Linked DNA regions of Drosophila melanogaster. The protein of the gene in region 1 interacts with the protein of each later gene in a pairwise test. Each region holds a gene or a part of one and is shown on either strand. Other genes may lie near its edges.

Region 1 (4,793 bases):
CCTTGGCAGTGACCGGCTGACCGGACCATCCTGTTTCACCCGACTGAGGGAATGCGTCTGCTGGCCATTCGAGAGCTCTGTGATGAACATGCTCTGTAGCGTGTGAATGGCCCCGCAAATGTTTCGATTCCGAATTTCCTCGTAGAACACCAGACTGAACCCATAGCACCGCTTTCCATCTTCTCGTGTCGTGGCAAACGAGTGGAAACGGGGTTCGATGCAATGTTTCTGGGTGCGGAAGCGCAGGCCCTGCGGTAGTGAGAGCTGTGGAAGACAAATGGCGGGGGTGAGTTCTCGATCTCAAGTGGCGGGCATAAATAAAATCCATTCATTCGAACACATGCCCAGATGCCCGAGATAAGGTTTATCGGTGGAGGGGTGACGCTGTCGTATTCGTGGCATCAATTATAAGTGCTTCTCTCACAACAACTCGGGACGAGTGTATCAATGAACTAGCTAGCCAAGCATGAATTTCCACCGAAAGGGCAGCCAATTGAGCTCAATTAGACATGAATATGGATTAGGGTGGCTCGGTCATTCGCAAGATATAAGTTTTTCTATGCTTCAGTTCTACACTTACAATGTAATGATGTAAAAATGTAAATATAAAAATAATTAAAAATTCACATTTAGCAGTCTGAACTGATTCCATTGACAGATGGCAATAAATCACTCTCTGACCTAATGATTCATCAAAATGATGTGTGTTTGGGAATAAGCATGAAGGAAGCCATTTAAATAGTTTAGACTATCATACATTATCTAATCGACATTAACCGATCCACCCTAAGATGGCTAGGGAGTGACTTCAAACAGTCTTTATGATTACCATGCATATGCCGTGGGCATCGAAGGGATTCCAGGGCACGTTCTCGGGATAATGGGCCAAAGGCTTGCTCTTGTAGGCGCGATCCAGCGGCGAGCAATGTAGGTTGTCCCCTAAGAGGCGTAGATGTGAAGTTAATCCCAATCTCGGCGAGCATTCATCACTTACCCGCAAAGCGATCCGGTTCGAGACCCGTGTCCAGATCCAGTCCACATATCACAAAGTAGTCGGCGAAGCGCGAGAACTGCGGATCCGCATCCCGCTTCAGTTGGTTCAGCTCGGACTGAGATTGGGACTGCTCCCCGGGCGAGGTGGGAGATTGCACCAGGGTGGAGGATGGAGCCACCTGGATGTTGGGACCACTTCCATTGCCACTGCCATTTCCACTCCCGCTGCTGAGCATCAGCTTGGACAGGCGACTAGAAACCACATTCTCCCTTGTGGTCATCGCGTCCTCGTCCTCCTCCTCCGTTTCTCTGTCTCTCTCTCTTTGTCTTTAATCCGCCAAATGGGACATCAAACAAAAAGCACTGCCTCCATGTGTGTGCGTGTGCTGCTTGTGTGTGTATACATGTACCGTTATGCGCTCGCGATTTCGTGCACTTTCGAATTTACACAACCAATCAATTTCCGTCTGCAAAATACGTACAACTTTAGGCACAACAACAAGCCAAGTGCTATTTTTACTTGTTTGTTTTATTTTTACAATTTCGACGAAGGTGTGCGTGTGCGAAGGAGAGTGTATGCAAAATTTTCTATGCCAATGTCGTTGCCCACGTCCACCACCAACAACACAACACTCTCCTCTTTCACAATTACACTGTCGTATTTAACCCGCTGCTGGGCCGTGGGAGCCACAGCAATCACTAGCCCCAAAACTGGGTTAACACTGGCTGCGTGTTTGTTTGGACCTACCAACAACAAAGACCAGCTGGGCAAACAAATATCGCGGAGTAGAGCAGACCTGAGTTTTTTTTTGGCAAAAACAAACTACTTTGGTCGCCAGTATGACCAGGCTGTGTAAGTAGGAGTAAACCAAAAGAAAATGACCGTTATAATAATTCAACTAAAAGCATAAGGGGGTTTCTTTAAAATACCAGCAGAAAAATACTTGCGAAAAACAATTGCATCGAAAAATATGTTTGTTTTTTAAAACTTGAGCAATAAGTAAAGCTGCATATTTTACCACCCTTTTTGTTATATATACCGTTGGTGTATATAAACGAGTTGTACTGGTTCCGAAAATAACACTACTACAATAGGGTGTATATGGTTTCGGAACCCGTTCAGGAGCGGAGAGTTGGGGTGGGGAACCAGCACCGAACCAGTTCTGAACCGGATCGCGACCTGACGAGAAAAAGTGTATCACTTCATCACATAACATTTCGCATTTAATTGGAACGTAAATTGTGTGCCCCGTCGAGACAGGAGTTTTGCACCGGAAAAAACGAGTGCGGAGGAGTGGCGTGTAGGAGTGAACGCCAAGGAGGAGCACTCCGACGTCGTAACAAACGAATAAAACGAATCCAAATCCGACACCCCCCCACATGCGATTGATTTGATTGATTGAGAGCACGAGACCACGAGTTCTGGGCGATGCACTCGTCACTCAGCTGGACCTCGCGTGCGATCTCTCGCGCCCTGCGCAGCAGCTTCTCCACGCTCCTGGAAACGGCCACGGGTGGCGGAAGTGGGGCAGCAGCCAAGGGGGCCACCAAGTCGGGAGCGACACCAGGATCCTCGGGCGCCCCACGACCCCGTTTCGTGTCGGTGGTGTGCGGCTTCGCCAAGGACAACCTGCGACACAAGTACAAGCCGGGAAAGTACGGCGAGGACTCATGGTTCAAGGCCTCCACCGCCAGTGCCGATGTCATGGGCGTGGCCGACGGCGTGGGCGGCTGGCGAAGCTATGGCATCGATCCCGGAGAGTTTTCATCGTTCCTGATGCGCACCTGTGAGCGGTTGGTGCAGTGCAGCCACTTTAATCCCCAACGACCAGTCAACCTGCTGGCCTACAGCTACTGCGAGCTGATGGAGCAGAAGAAGCCCATACTGGGCAGCAGCACCGCCTGCGTCCTGATCCTCAACCGTGAGACGAGCACCGTGCACACGGCCAACATCGGCGACAGCGGCTTCGTTGTGGTGCGCGAAGGCCAGGTGGTTCACAAGTCCGAGGAGCAGCAGCACTATTTTAACACACCCTTCCAACTGTCATTGCCGCCGCCGGGACATGGGCCCAATGTCCTCAGCGACAGCCCTGAGTCGGCGGACACGATGAGCTTTCCGGTGCGGGATGGCGACGTGATTCTCATTGCAACCGACGGAGTGTTCGACAACGTGCCCGAGGATCTAATGCTGCAGGTGCTTAGCGAGGTGGAGGGCGAACGCGATCCCGTCAAGCTCCAGATGACGGCCAACAGCCTGGCGCTGATGGCGCGCACCCTGTCCCTCAACAGCGAGTTCCTCTCGCCCTTCGCCCTCAGCGCCAGGAGGAATAACATTCAGGCGCGTGGCGGCAAGCCGGACGACATCACCGTTGTCCTGGCCACCGTGGCGATGTGAGAGTGGTGCTCCAGCCCATCCTCCCTAGTGATTAACGTTTACTTGTAGTCCGTACGTGTTTAGTTAGCTTTAGGAGCCAGTTTCGTGGTTCTGTCTACCGTTTAAGCTGCATGTTGAGATTGAGATTGTGATTGACGAGGACGACGACCCTTTGACCCTTTGCATTGTTAGTTACATATATACGAGCAAACTCATTTTCGAACCGACGAATCGACTTCGACGCATCCTGGTGAGCGACCCGCGCCTCGATTGTATACATAACCCTCGCTATAAGTAGAGAATGCGAATTATCTGCCCGATCTGGCGATCTCTGTCGTCAGTGGCGTTCTAATCACCACAAACAATAAACAAACAACCGATTGCGAAACAATCCCCGACGCCGAGGATCATAAATACGAGTCCGGGGTCCGGATGATGGAAGCTGGATGGATGGTGGACCCGGAATGGAGCGAGTCGAGTGCAGCTATCTGACTGAGGACGGAGGATTACCCATTTACGCGGGCGAACGAACTGTCTTTAAACAATTTTTGTCGAAATGTACTCACTGATATTTGCGACCCAATAAAATTTATTCAATGAAAAACAACGAATGCAGCTTGTAGTCACTTCGTGATAAATTCATTAAGCAAATAAATATGTGTAAACAATAAAGCTGTACGGAAAACTTAAATAGAACGTTCTAATTGCTTAGATTAACTCATGGTCAGAAAGATGGAAATTGATAGATTCAGGAGCGGACAAACTGATTAGCGTGGGGGTGTTTATTTTTAATGCGATGTAACAATCATTTTCCTCCAGAAGTATAGGTGAAATTACATTTTTAATTAAAAAGGTCTTATCTGAAAGAAATCGATTGCGCTTCTGTGACGCAGACTGACTACATATATAAGCATAAAGCTGCAAAAAATATATGCATTCTACAGATTATTATTATATTCGAATAGGAAAAATACCCAGAACTATTTTTAAAAATTTTATTCGAAAATATTGCGTTATTTCGGTGCAACCTTAATTATTTGTATCTAGAATAAAACGCGCTATGGTGGTGCTATTTTTTACGCAACTGTATATGTGTTAAATCGATAATATAAAAAAACATTTATTTTAATTAGTAAAGTTTTTCGCCAGTTTGTAAAATATGTTAACTTTTGGCTACACTTGTGGGTAAATTAAAAGGCTTCATAGATGCCAAAAAAATTTCAGTCAATAGCAACGCACCAAATCCCCGCTGAATTGGTAGGAGTCTAGTGACGAAAGCATCGGTTGCCCCTAACGTTCGGTAATTCAAATTTTGTGACGAATAATACAAATCACACAATAACATACATAACAGAAAAGCTTACGTAACTGAAATCATTATTTAATTTAATATATATGAAAATAATTAAGCTGACAGGGAATGCAG
Region 2 (8,391 bases), about 11 Mb from region 1:
CGTGTGGCTTATGCTCGAAGATCTTCATTAACTGATTCTGTGCCTCGTTGATGCCATCGGTAATAATCTTGCTGCGTTGAATGTTTCCCTGCAAAGTAAATTGGTTTTATGTTGAGATTCAAGCATAATGGATATAAGTATAAGAGCGCACCTTTAGCAGTTCAGTGACTCGCTCAATTTCGCTGTGCTTCTCCTTGTCCTTTTCGAGATCCTGCAGCATGGTCTCCAGCCTGCCCAGACTAAAGACTTCCGATTCATTCTGTAAGAAATCAGTTCAGTCAAAGTAGCCTACCAATACTTTCGTGCCCATTGCTTACCAAGTCCTCCATTTGCGAGCGTAAATGATAAATTTTCCATCCATTGATTTTGCCCTGCACATTTGGCTGATTGGCCAGATCAATGACTGTGGCCCGCCGCTCCTCCCTTGGCTTAACATCAGTGTACCGATGAAAATGATTGTTGGCCAACTTATGTGTGGGCTTATACGTCTGTAGATCAACGGAATCATTTGTTAACTACCACAAAATGAACTGAACCTTCAACTTACATTGAGCAAAGCACAATTGCGCGGACGACGAATCACAAAGTCGACGGGATTTGCGTTCTCCTTGTTGCCCGCCACAGCAGGTGTACTGTTCCGGTGGTTGGCATCGCCTGGCGCACTGTTGGGAGCAACACCCGGGGTCGCTGCTGTCACCAGTAGTCCTCCATTGTTGTGCTTCTGCATGTACGAAGCGCCAGCCGGCGGCGTTGGCTCCGAACTTGGAGGTGGCAGCGATAAGGATGCTTGACTCTGCGTAGAGTGCTGGCTGTCATTGCTGGCAAATACATTATCAGATTATCAACATGCATCATTTGATACAACCACTCAAATAACTCACGTCGATCGTCGCGGCTTTTTCCTAGAGGAGCAGTCATAACTGGAGCTGGAGCTATTACCAGTACCATTCATACGCGTTCCTTGTTGCATCTGCGTCGATCCCACCAAATGAGGCACCTGCTGAGGCTGCTGTTGCTGCGGCGTTGGTGCTTGCACATCCACAAAGGCACTGCTACCACTGCGGGCTCCCAGTGAGGAGTGACCAAGGTTCTGCTGAATCGATTGGTGTGATGAGTACATCTTTTGAAGAACAAATATTAAAGCCATACTTAAGCATATATTGATTGTTGTGTACACACCTCATTAATGGGATTAAAATGCGTGGAATTATCGCGCCCACCAGCGCCTCCCGTGGCTGGCTGATCGCCAATCCTGTCCTGTAATTGCTGATCCACACCAGGTGAGGAATTCGCCGACACTGTAGTTGAGCCGTCCGACGAAGCCGGCGAGTCCGCCCTCGAATTTCTCGTTGAGTTCACGGGGCCAACTGTGGCAGGCACACTAGCGGCGCTACTTGCTACACCATGGGTGACTCGCTCCCGTTCCTTCTTGGCCAGCGCCTCTACGGTCAGCCCAGAGCCAACTGATTGAGGCACTGTCACGGACACCGGCTGAATGTTGAACGTGGTGCCCGGAGCCGGTGGCATGTTTTGTCCACTGTTATTGCTAGCCATTGAAAGCAAAGTGGGTCCTAGATTTTTAGCCGCCCGTATTGGCGAACCTTCCGCATCCCGCTTGCGCATAAAGCTGGACACCAGTGCTCCACTTGCAGTTGCTTGTTGCGGATTGCCCGCTCCCGTGGTCACCTTAACGGACGTATGCAGCGGAATAACCATGTGCTGCGGCGGCGCACTATTTGGTCCTGCTGGTATTATCAATTGCTGGTGGCCAATGGTTCGGGTGGCTGTTCCACCAGCCCCCGACGGCAACACCGTAAAAGTAGCCTGCGATCCGCCGCCACCTGATCCCGCTCCGGCAGTCGCGTGACTTGCAAAGGGTAACGAAGATACCGACAAGCTGCCACCGGCGCTGCTAACCAATTGTGCCTGCGCCTGGGTGCTCTGCGTCACTGTTGTCGTAGTCAATGATAGAACGCCTGTGGAGGCGGAGGCTGGCATAGATTCGTAGTAGATTGTGGCAGCACTTCCCTTCTCATCGATCTGTATAACGATTTAGTTTTAATAGTTAATTGAAGCATCATATATGTAGATAGTTGAAACCTACCTTCATCAACTGGCTCTGTGAAGCAACTACAGGATTCCAGGTGCGTTGAAAGCCCGTCACTGTTGCCCCGCTTGTGCTGGAACCATCTGCTCCAGGGGCAGAAGAAGCTGGTGCCATCATCATCTTGCCCAAAGTGATGCCGCTTGCGTTCTTGATGGGCGTCAGAGTTCCCGTGAGGATATTACCGCCTGGTCCCACTCCCGCTCCCCTGCCACTGATGGTAAGTGGCAGGACAGTGGCTCCACCGGCCGCCGATGTGGCACCCGTCACCGAGCTTGAATTGACCACACTGGCAGAGACATTCGGCACTGGCACCGCCTGGATGCTGGCCACGCCCTGCGGCCCCATTGTTTGTCCTCCACTTCCTCCGCCAGCTGACAGTTTTCCGATGGGATTAAGCTGTGTAATAGTTAGCGATGGCTGAACCTTAGCGGTCATGGTGACAGGTGGACGAATGCCTGTCGATTGATGGTTTCAAAGATATATTATTATTATTTCATTTAATTGTGGTAGGGTTTATTCCTATCATATTCCACTTACAAAAGAACAAGTCACGAAATAATTCTTAAATTTTCAAACACTATTTTATTTTTGTTCTTATTGTATAGTTCTCAGCTCAGTTCAATCCATAAAAAAGTAAACTCTATATAGGAGAACACCTACTTCCACAGCTGGTCGCCGGTCAACTCCAGAACCATCTTAGTGCGAAAATATTTCATGTCTTTCTTGGAAAACGTTATTGGAGCATCCCGGGTTAGGTATTCTGCAAACATGCAGACGAACACGCCGCAATCGTTCATGTTGTCTTGTTGCGGCACATTTTGGGCATCCTCGATGCGAAATTCACTGGTGTCCAAACACAGCCCGAGCTTGTCCTCCGACTCCATTTGAAGGTACTTCACTAGTGCTCGCATCAGATTCGGGTCACCGCGGCCTCTTGAATTGTAGTAGAGCATTGTTTTCGCAGGCAAATCGATTATGACCAGGCACCAGTGAACGAGCATTTGGTGAACAGGCACAAGTATGAGGTCCATGCTAAACAGATCCACCTTTCTAGTCCAGCGTTTTACGCCATCGAAGCCACTTTGCAGCAGGCGGGGCACAAAGAAAGTGCTCATGGCATACACGCTGGGCACTGTACCAGGACGCTTCTCCGATCGCTCGACCAGTAGGTTCATGTAAAAGTTGATTATTTTGTCGTTGAGCCAGCCGCCACTGGTCAGGATTTTGATATCACTGCCGCAGATGTCCAAATTGAACTTGGCCACAATTACCTGCTGCAGTGGATACTTAGATAGTTCCATCAGCCGATCATGGTGTTCTTTGGTCAGCGGAATCAATTCGCTGCTGATTCTTATGTCCTCGATCACATGGACGGACTGCTTAAGGATCAGCTTCTTGTATCTATCGATTTCGCAGGCAATTCGCTCGTGTTTGGCTTTTAAACACAACTGATGTGCTTCATTCAAGCGCTTTCTATTTAACTTGTTTTTTTGATCCGTCCAACGCCGAAATTGCTCGATATAGTTGGACCTTAAAAATAAGGATCTTCGAAAGCGTCGATTGTGGCTATGTTTGAAGACCGCTGGTATGGCTTGCAGCAGTTTCGTTTTACGGTCAACTTTCTTGACCACCTTTGGTATCTCCTTATGTCCTATGTCCTCCTTTTCAACGACTTTAAGCGGTGTCGGGACTGCGGGACCATTGCTGGTTAGTTTGCGGAAAAATTTGAGTTTTTCTTGCACGGCCATTACAACGTCCTCCTCTTGTTCCTGGAAATTCTCGGGCTGCTTTAGAACTGGCATTGTCTTGGCCATAGGGTAATCCTGACACTCTTTTGTGATTAGATCAAAATATCTAGATTTCTCCACGATCTCCTTCTCGAAAGCCAGCATGCTGCTGATGATTGTTGGATGTTGACTAAACTGAATGATATTAGTTCGTAAGCTGTTGATAACAATTGAAATAAAAATTGGGTCCCCCTATTTCAACACGAATTGATAGTAGATTCTCTGCTTCCTAGATGACAGTTAACGTGGTTTATCGATAGTTTCATACTTAACAGCAGAAGTTTCAGTTTTATAAAAATTAAATACTGAATTGACTATTGCTTAACAGATTGCTAAACTAGATGACTTGCTCTTTAGTAAGCATTTTAGAGTATTCCAGTTATAAGTACTAACTTACCCATCTTAGCCGCCGCGGTAGTGCTCATCAAGAATGGCTGCAGCATCACGTTCCCGGCCAGACGAGCTCCGGATCCGATGATCTGTTGAGTGGTTCCCGTCGCTGGCTGCTGCAGCTGAATGATCCGTGTGGTGGGCAAATTAGTGGCCGTCAGAGCAGTTCCTCCGGCTCCGGGACCCCGCCCGGGTGCCACTGTTGCTCCACCGGAAACACTAACGGCCGTTGGAGATGCCGTAACGCTGGTATTCAGCTGCGGTATGCTTGGTGCCCTGATACTTATGCTGGTTGTGTTCAGCTTAGCGGTTGGAAAACTCTTGCCCAGCGGAATTGGTCGCACCTGTCGAGGTGTTACTGTCGTTCCACCGGGCGTCGTTGTTGTTACTCCGCCTGTGGGCGTGGCCACAGCAAAGCGTGGATTAAATTGCTGACCCGGATTCTGACTTGCATTCGGTGCAGACACATTGGAGGAGTAAACTAGTGTAGCCTGATGCTGCCTCTGTGGCAATACAGTAGCCACATAGGCCTGAGGACCTCCTCCCGGTCCCGTCGCCTGTTGTGTCGCCAAGGGCTGGCCAGCGGAAACGGAAAGAGCTATGTGGAAACACAATTAGGATGATGTTGCAGAGTAAGAAAAGATACAACATACCTGTTGGCGCCTGCACTGGAGTAGTGGTCACTACACTGGCATTCGAAACCCCCGCGGATGTCGTTATAATTCGCTGGCGCGGCTGATGAATGGTTCGGATCAGTTGCACCTGTCCCTGACTCTGCATCCAAGCACCACTGTTGCTGGACGAGATGACAGCCGACGATGGTTGCGATGTGAGCGCCACTCCACTTCTGCTCACCGATGCTGTTGCTCCGCGTACGAATCCTCCGGTTGAGCTCAGCACTGTTGGCGCTGTGGGCGTAACCGTGGCCGATGATGTGGCTCTCAATGGCGTGACGAGCCGCTGGCCAACTCCAACGCCAACGCCTCCCATTTGGGTGGCCGTCACACTGGCTCGCGGCAAGTATGTGGCCTGGGTTACGGGCCTGGTAACCGTGATCGATGCATTCGCCCCACTCCTCGCCGGTGCAGCTGGTATGGCTGTTATCTGAGTCCTTCCGGTGGCCGTAACATTCTCTAGCTGCTTGATCATTGGCATCACCACCCGCACCTGTGTGGACTGACCACCAGCGCCAATAGCACGGATCGAAGCTGCCGTAGTCGCTTGTCCTGCATTCAGAGCAATTGGAGTGCCACCTAGGGAAGTTTGTTGAACTTGATTGGCTGACGCCACCTTAATTGTGCCTCCGCTGAGGATCGGTGTGCCCGCAATGGATATCCCACCGCCGCCGTCGGATTTCACGTGGGTGATCTTGGCGGCCACCGCCGGGTGCGCTGCAGAGGATGGCAAATGGGATGGCAATGAGTATTTGTTTATGACGCCGCGCAGCTGCAGGGGCGGATGTGAGTGCGATACCAAGGATGCGGATGCGGATAAAGATCCAGTGGCTGCCAGAGATGATGATGATGATGATGGATATATAGATGGCAGCAATGACAACGATGGCACTGCATGGGTGTGCAGTTGTTGGGTGCGTATCTTAATGGTTTTCAGGGGGGCTGTGCGGGTGGCTACTGTGAGATTTCGGTTAAAAGCTCCACATGGAACACCAATGGACGGACAAGTGAAATTGGGGAGCTACATACATATAACATTGGTTTATTTGTTTGGCTTTTAAATTTAATAATAATATTTGTTTCCTTTTGATGAAAATTAAATATAATATAAATATACAATTTTAAAAAGATGTATGTTTCTATTTTTTAAGAGCCAAACAAGTAAATTTATTAGATAAATAACTGGAAATATATTATCTTTGAGATCAAGCTAAATAAGAACATTTTGTGGGCAGTTGGCAACCCTGAAACGAATGCACAGTAACAACAAAACAAAGGCATACAAACGCAGACGTTGCTGCGAATGTGAGGCACAAAGAGGAATAGGAAACAAACAGTGCGCGTATGCAAGAGCAAAAGAGAGGGGCACAAATGTTATGTATACATACGCATACACGGGGACAATGCTAATACGTATATACGTATGGGGATAAATATATATAAATATTCCACTTGGATATCGGTGGACTTACCTGATGGCGCTGTAGCTGTACTTCCACCGCCCACCGGCCCTCCTCCCGCGCCACCCTCACTAGGCGCACTCATTATTCCAGCTTTGATTTTGCGATATCTGAAAGACGATTTTGGCATTAGACTTCTGTTCCACGTTTCACACGATTTTCGCCTCTTCTACACCACCCGCTCTTTCTCTTCTTATCACTGCGCACTATGTATCCACAAAATCTCTCCACAAGCACGCACACGAAAACAGTCTGAGAAAGGCTGTACTTTGAAATTTTTCTTAGATAAACTTGCCTTTTTATGCTAATTGGTCGCACACATTAAGCGCAGCAAATTAGACTTGATGATTTTTACCGCGCCACCTATTAATACGAGAAGTTTTTCTTGTTTTCCGCTCTTCTTTTCACAAGGCTCAATTAAGTAGTGTTACCAGATTGAAAACAATAAGTAATCTATGAAATACTAAACGCTAGGTGTTCAGAAAAATACTCGGAAATTACACAAGTAAGGAAATACCAAAACAATTTTTTATCCGCTTAAACCGTCATTTTAGGATGATAGGTTTTTAAGCACGAATTTTATAAATCATATTAGTAATACAAGTATTTCCAACATATCATAAAATTAAGGAATTCATTCAATATTTTCATTGATTTATAGATTTTTAACTAAGTAATGCAATGTTAACACATATTGTTTTGTATATATCGTCAAAACTTTGATTTCTCTTCATTAAAATAGACACCAAAGAAGTTTGTTAAATTCAACCCAGGAGGAATGCCTACTCTTCATAGTATTGGGGATAGGTTACTTGGTGTACAGCCAATATTAGTCATTTAATTGATAGTTATTGTCATTTAATAGATTGGTATTGTGTTTTGTCTCCATTTCCATCCAGAAACTGATGATACAGCAAGGCTCTGCAGGCATTGGCATAAGTAAACTCTTTGTCCCAATTTTGTGACTTTTTCTTCATTAAAGAGAAGAAAAGTAAAGTAAAGCCAAGTAAATTGGCTTGTTTTGGTACTTTTAAACAATGGTTCACGTTTACAATTCTTCATCATTAGTTTTAACAATAATAATAATATAGCGAAATAGGTATTAGCTTGACAATATTCAACTATTATCCTCGAAAATTTGGGCCCAAAAATAAAACTAAAAGAATATAATCAAAAAATTAAGACCCATTGGTATTTTAAAGAAAGTGGTATTTTTCGCGCGGGGGCGTATTGGCGGTTCGCCACCTGCGGCCACACTGGCCAACCCACCACTTCGCTTAGTTGTGTTTTCGTCTTGCCTTTTCCACTAGTCTCTCTCGCGAAGTAGTTGGAAAAATCACCTTTTGCAAAGTTTTTCGCTGGGACCAAAAAGCTACATTTTTCAAAAACCGAAAGGAAATTACGCTGATCGTCCGTGTGTGCGTGCGTGTGTATGTGAGAGAGTGTGTGCCATCGATCCTGCAAGTGTGTGTTTGTACGCGAGTGTGGGGCCGCAAATTAAAAGCAATACCACACTGAAAACCGAGATAATCGCACACGGAAAAGAACGGTTTAATTCAATTACAAGTGAAATTAGAGTGTGTGCCCGATAATTGTCAACTGGCCAGGTGGACGGAAAAGACGGTGGTGGTGTTACGTGAAAATTTCGGAGATCGTCGAGGGCCAGAGAATCACATTTAGTGGCTGGCCAAAGGGGAAAGAAATTGATTTTCCATTTTCCACAATTGCAATTGGAAGCAAAAGCAAAGCAGAAGAGCGAAGAAAATAAAAGGGGAGAGCAAGCGTGCGTGCACGAGCGAAAGAGAGTGTGGAGCGCGAGGGGGTGTACGACTGTGAGAGAGAGAGAGGGAGAGTGGGAGAGAGCAGCACTTCCAGGCGTCGCATCCTCCTCCTTTTTCGCATGCAATGAATATTGTCGGGGAATATGAATACAGCTCCAAGGATATGCTGGGCCATGGCGCCTTTGCCGTCGT
Region 3 (4,174 bases), on another chromosome or scaffold:
TTTTGTCGGTTATTATTTTGAATTTCTGCAATTTTACTGATTTCTATTAATTCTACCCAATAGTGAGCTAAGAGCTTTTCATTTAATAGGATAAATTATTTCTGATAATTATTATTCGGAAATATATCATAGCTGCTCATAAATAACTCAACAACTTGGTACTCGGAATTCTTGTAAACAAATTTAATTTAAATTTCAATCAAAAAACATTTTGTTGTTATGGCGAAGGTGGTTGTTTATCTATAGCCTGCTATTATGAATAATTAATTACTCAGCCCAAGAGCGGAACACTTTACTTCTGAGCTTCTGTCCCACACACTTTGTGGATTATTTTCAAAGTATCTCTTAGATAATCATTAAGGTGTTGTTAACCGACTCCCGACTCCCGACGCCAAATGTTTTCTTAAGCAAATGTCGCCGACGCCGTTGTCACTCGCAAACTTTTTAATGAGCTGCGCGCGGAGTTTTCCCACCGCTCCACCCACTCGGAATCGCTGTTCCTGCATTGCCCCACCAGGACGCAGGATTCTACGACAGGCGGTACTTTAAGAATGTTTCAACTAAATTACGCCACTAGTCGGCAAACAACAGTGATGTGGAGAAGGGGTCGGAGATGACAGGACACTGGGGCTGACATCATTTCGCTTTGCAAATTGTTTTAGTGTCAAAGGTCAAACACACACTTACACCCGAGTGCCAGCGCCATATGACACGGCGAAGTGCAGCCGTAAAAAGGATCCCTCCGCTGTTCTCTTTCCTAGTTTCCAGCGCAAATCTGTTGAGCAAGTTTTAGTTTAAGCATTTTTGAGCAACATGAGATCCTGGGCGGCGGAGGACGAGCTTCGCTCGTTAGCGGCGCCTGCCAAAAACTTTGCCAGTCACGTCAAAGCTGCCTCTCCAACAATGCTCCCCAATCCTCCGCCAACCCACAAGCACTGCCCTTCAGGTGGCTTTTTTTATTTCGCGGTATCTCCAAACACTGGGGAACACGAAGCCAAGCGCTTTAATCCTGAATCCTGGCCGGAGGCAGCTCATGACTTGCTGCAATTTTGGGACAGGTGTGTCCAAGGTCCAAGTCTCGGATTCCATCCAGCAACAGCAGCAGCAGCAGCTGCCAAGTTTGCGTGTTTTCCAATCTTTTCATCGTTTTTGGGGCTCTTGGCTTGTTTGGCTTGCCATCTCCAAATTAGGCGCATTTTTGGCGCTGTTTTTTCTTTTTTTGTTTTTGCCTACCAACTTTGGTATGAGTTTTGCTGTGCAGCGGGCCCGGCTAATAGCCAGCCAAACGCTGGGTGGAGTCATCATGGTAGTGCGATCAATGGTAGTCCCATAATTTAAGCATCCATTGGGAACTGAAATCACAACAACTATATGGTATATCACAGCTTAAATTCTTAATACTATTAAGCAGATACAGATAAAAGTCATCCCCTTATAGTAAGATTATTATCCTTATACCAGCTGAACTGTCAAACGAAGATTGTAATTATTAATTTCTTTCTTGTATCTTTGGTGACCCGTCGACCCACACAGATGCTATTCCACAATTTAAATTCTTATTTCGCCGTGGCCATCAAACGATGCCGAAAAAGTTTAAATTAGTTAAAGAACTTCATTAACTGAACCGTCGAAAAAGATTGACGTTTTCGACTCGTGCTGCGCAGTGGATAACGCGAGCTCGTGGAAAATTATGAAAATTATAATTACCAGCTTAAGCTGGCCAACCCGGAGCACCAACTGCCGACTGGTAACTGGCAACTGGCAACTGGCATCCCATCCAGTGAGCAGTGACCGCCAGCCACCAGATATTATCGCCAAAGCCAGTAGCTGTTTATTTTCCGAGCATTTCAACACAGTGGCTGCCGTTTGGTCCGTCTCTGCAGCATCCAGATTGTGTTTTTTATGGCCTGTCGTAGCCAACACAAATCAATTAGATAATGTAGCAGTGTCGTTGGCGTCCGCCGCATTTGCAATCACAGTCCCTGATATCCCATGCATATTTATAACCGTCGCAGAGTGCATTAAAATCAAAGCCAAGACAAACGATCGCGGGCTGGCGATAGGCCTAGGTCGGGGAATACGCTTGCATATTTAAACGGTGGGGCATTTTAATGACTGTCGAATAGCATCGAAATCAAATCAACAGCGCTGCGACAGCAAGGTCGTTCGTTAACAGGGGATTTCTCTATCTACCTTGGCCAAAAACTGGGTCTATTTCGTGGGAGGGGTAAATGCAGTGCCGCGTCTTCAACTATAAAAGCCAGATTGTGCTGAACTCCCAGCATTAGTTCCTCCTGTCAGCTCCATTTGTACACAGCTTCCAGTCACCATGCGTGCTTTTATCGTAAGTGTCTAGAAAATAAGGGAATCGAATAATACAGTATAAAACTAATATTTAACATCATGCAGGTCCTCTGTCTGTTGGCCGTGAGCTGCAGTGCCGATAAACTGGGCTACAACTACCAACCCGTGGCACATGCCGATGAGGGTCTGTCCTTCCTGCCCGGAAGTGGTCAGGTGATTGGAGAACTTCCGTCGCAGGTGCTGCCCGTGCAGAGTGGCGAAGCAGTCCTCTCCCAGCCCATTGAAGCACCTGTTGCTCCCCAGATTGCACCTTTGGTAGAGGAGTTCCAGAAGGAGTTCTACAGCTACGCCGCCCCCGAGGAACAGTACGATGAGGGTGCCAGCAACCAGCAGATCGCCAACTCCCTGAAAAAGAACCTCCGCGTCGTCTTCATTCGCACTCCCGAAAATCAGGGCTTCGAGCGCGCTGCCCTCCAGTTGGCCAAGCAGTCTGCTCAGCAGGAGACCGCCATCTATGTTCTCACCAAACAGTCCGATGTGTCCAACCTGGCTAAGCAACTGAATGCCCTGAAGACGAGCTCCACCAACAAACCAGAGGTGCACTTCGTCAAGTACCGCACTCCAGAGGATGCGGCTAATGCCCAACTGGCCATCCAGAACCAGTACAACCAATTGCCCGGCGTGTCTCGCATCTCCAACGAGGGTCGTGCTCCTGTCCTGAACTTTGCCTCGTCTCCAGCCCAGGCTGCTGCCATCCCAGCCGTTGCTGCAGCTGCTCCCAGCTCGGAGTACCTGCCCGCCAATGTGGTGGCTGGCCAGGATTACCTGCCACCCAATCTGCGTCGTTTCCGCGTCAAGTAAATGGTCTCAAGTGAAATTTCAACGGTAACGCTTCCTATCCCAGAATATCGCATCGAAAAAAGAAAACACCTAGCTACTCCCATCACGTGCAAGTTAACTAGCTTTTAAGTATCCATGTAGAGGAATAAAATTTGTTTTGCTGACAAATTCCCGATGTGAACTGAAAAACTCATTTGCAGCCTAATTGCAGGATTCGGCCATTTCCATGCTGCGGAACCGAACCTTTCCGTTGTGCGAGTTTCTCTTTTTGCCGGGCAAATCCTGTCTGCGCATTCGTGCGTTGTCCTTTCACATAAAATCCCAGAAATAATAGCCTGGATAAAGCGGCTGGCATGTCATAAAGTCCAGCAACAAGTTGAGCCACCCACATGACACCCACTCATATTGCCTCCCGGGAACTGAAACGAAACCGCACCCGCACAGTCATGGATTCTCCGGCATATGCACAATGGTTTTATCCCATCCGCCATTTGTAATTGGAGTTATTAGATTCGAAATGAAGTGGTTGCAAAATGGCCCGGTCTAGACCCGGTTACAGTATCCGTCCACTCTTTGTAAGCCTGCTCGTAATCGGTGTCTCTCAGTGATGGGAAAACTAGGTGAGTGCTAGGTACAAGGAAACTTTCCAAACTATTATGGGTATATGCTATATGAAAAGCATTTGCTATGTACAATATATATTAGCTGGTGGTCCCCAAGTTTGCAAGCTTAATTTCATGCTAATTGTATACAAGTACGCTTCAGGTTTTCAAAGCTAATAATCAACTACCACTTTCCCAGCACGTCACTGGTACTTATTGTTGCCAGCTCAGCCGCTCTGCCCGTTGCGGTTTGAATAAGTGGCAACGTCCTGTTGCAGGTGAAAGCTGCCTGTATTCCTGATCTGTGTCCTGCCGGCTGGCGACACTCATTGAGTGTGATTGTGTACCCTTTTTGCGGGGTGTGAGCAGATTTTACCGTGTGAGTGTGTGTGCGCCTTGATGGCTTCCTGCTTCCGTGAATGGCAAAC

Evidence for each region.
Region 2: the proteins of CG12091 (region 1) and Sap130 interact in a two-hybrid assay, tested with the Drosophila melanogaster proteins (one large-scale study listed by BioGRID).
Region 3: the proteins of CG12091 (region 1) and TwdlD interact in a two-hybrid assay, tested with the Drosophila melanogaster proteins (one large-scale study listed by BioGRID).

Annotation. Positions count from the first base shown.
Region 1 is NT_037436.4:1,534,191-1,538,983, reverse strand, and holds CG12091 (uncharacterized protein), read left to right. Parts: upstream 1-2,148; 5' UTR 2,149-2,422; coding exon 2,423-3,388; 3' UTR 3,389-4,055; downstream 4,056-4,793. Other genes in the region: pns (pinstripe), read right to left, coding at 1-264, 830-939, 995-1,274.
Region 2 is NT_037436.4:12,804,377-12,812,767, reverse strand, and holds the start of Sap130 (Sin3A-associated protein 130), read right to left. Parts: upstream 6,867-8,391; 5' UTR 6,714-6,866; intron 6,583-6,713; exon of another isoform or gene 6,529-6,582; 5' UTR 6,504-6,528; coding exon 6,431-6,503; intron 6,082-6,430; exon of another isoform or gene 5,901-6,081; coding exon 4,938-5,900; exon of another isoform or gene 4,883-4,937; coding exon 4,292-4,882; intron 4,251-4,291; exon of another isoform or gene 4,223-4,250; intron 4,048-4,222; exon of another isoform or gene 4,000-4,047; coding exon of another isoform or gene 2,764-3,999; exon of another isoform or gene 2,672-2,763; intron 2,563-2,671; coding exon 2,105-2,562; intron 2,041-2,104; coding exon 1,180-2,040; intron 1,121-1,179; coding exon 882-1,120; intron 819-881; coding exon 548-818; intron 489-547; coding exon 318-488; intron 260-317; coding exon 152-259; intron 89-151; coding exon 1-88. Other genes in the region: CG32110 (uncharacterized protein), read right to left, coding at 2,764-3,999; Atg1 (Autophagy-related 1), read left to right, coding at 8,324-8,391.
Region 3 is NT_033777.3:26,637,746-26,641,919, forward strand, and holds TwdlD (TweedleD), read left to right. Parts: upstream 1-2,279; 5' UTR 2,280-2,329; coding exon 2,330-2,344; intron 2,345-2,409; coding exon 2,410-3,165; 3' UTR 3,166-3,309; downstream 3,310-4,174.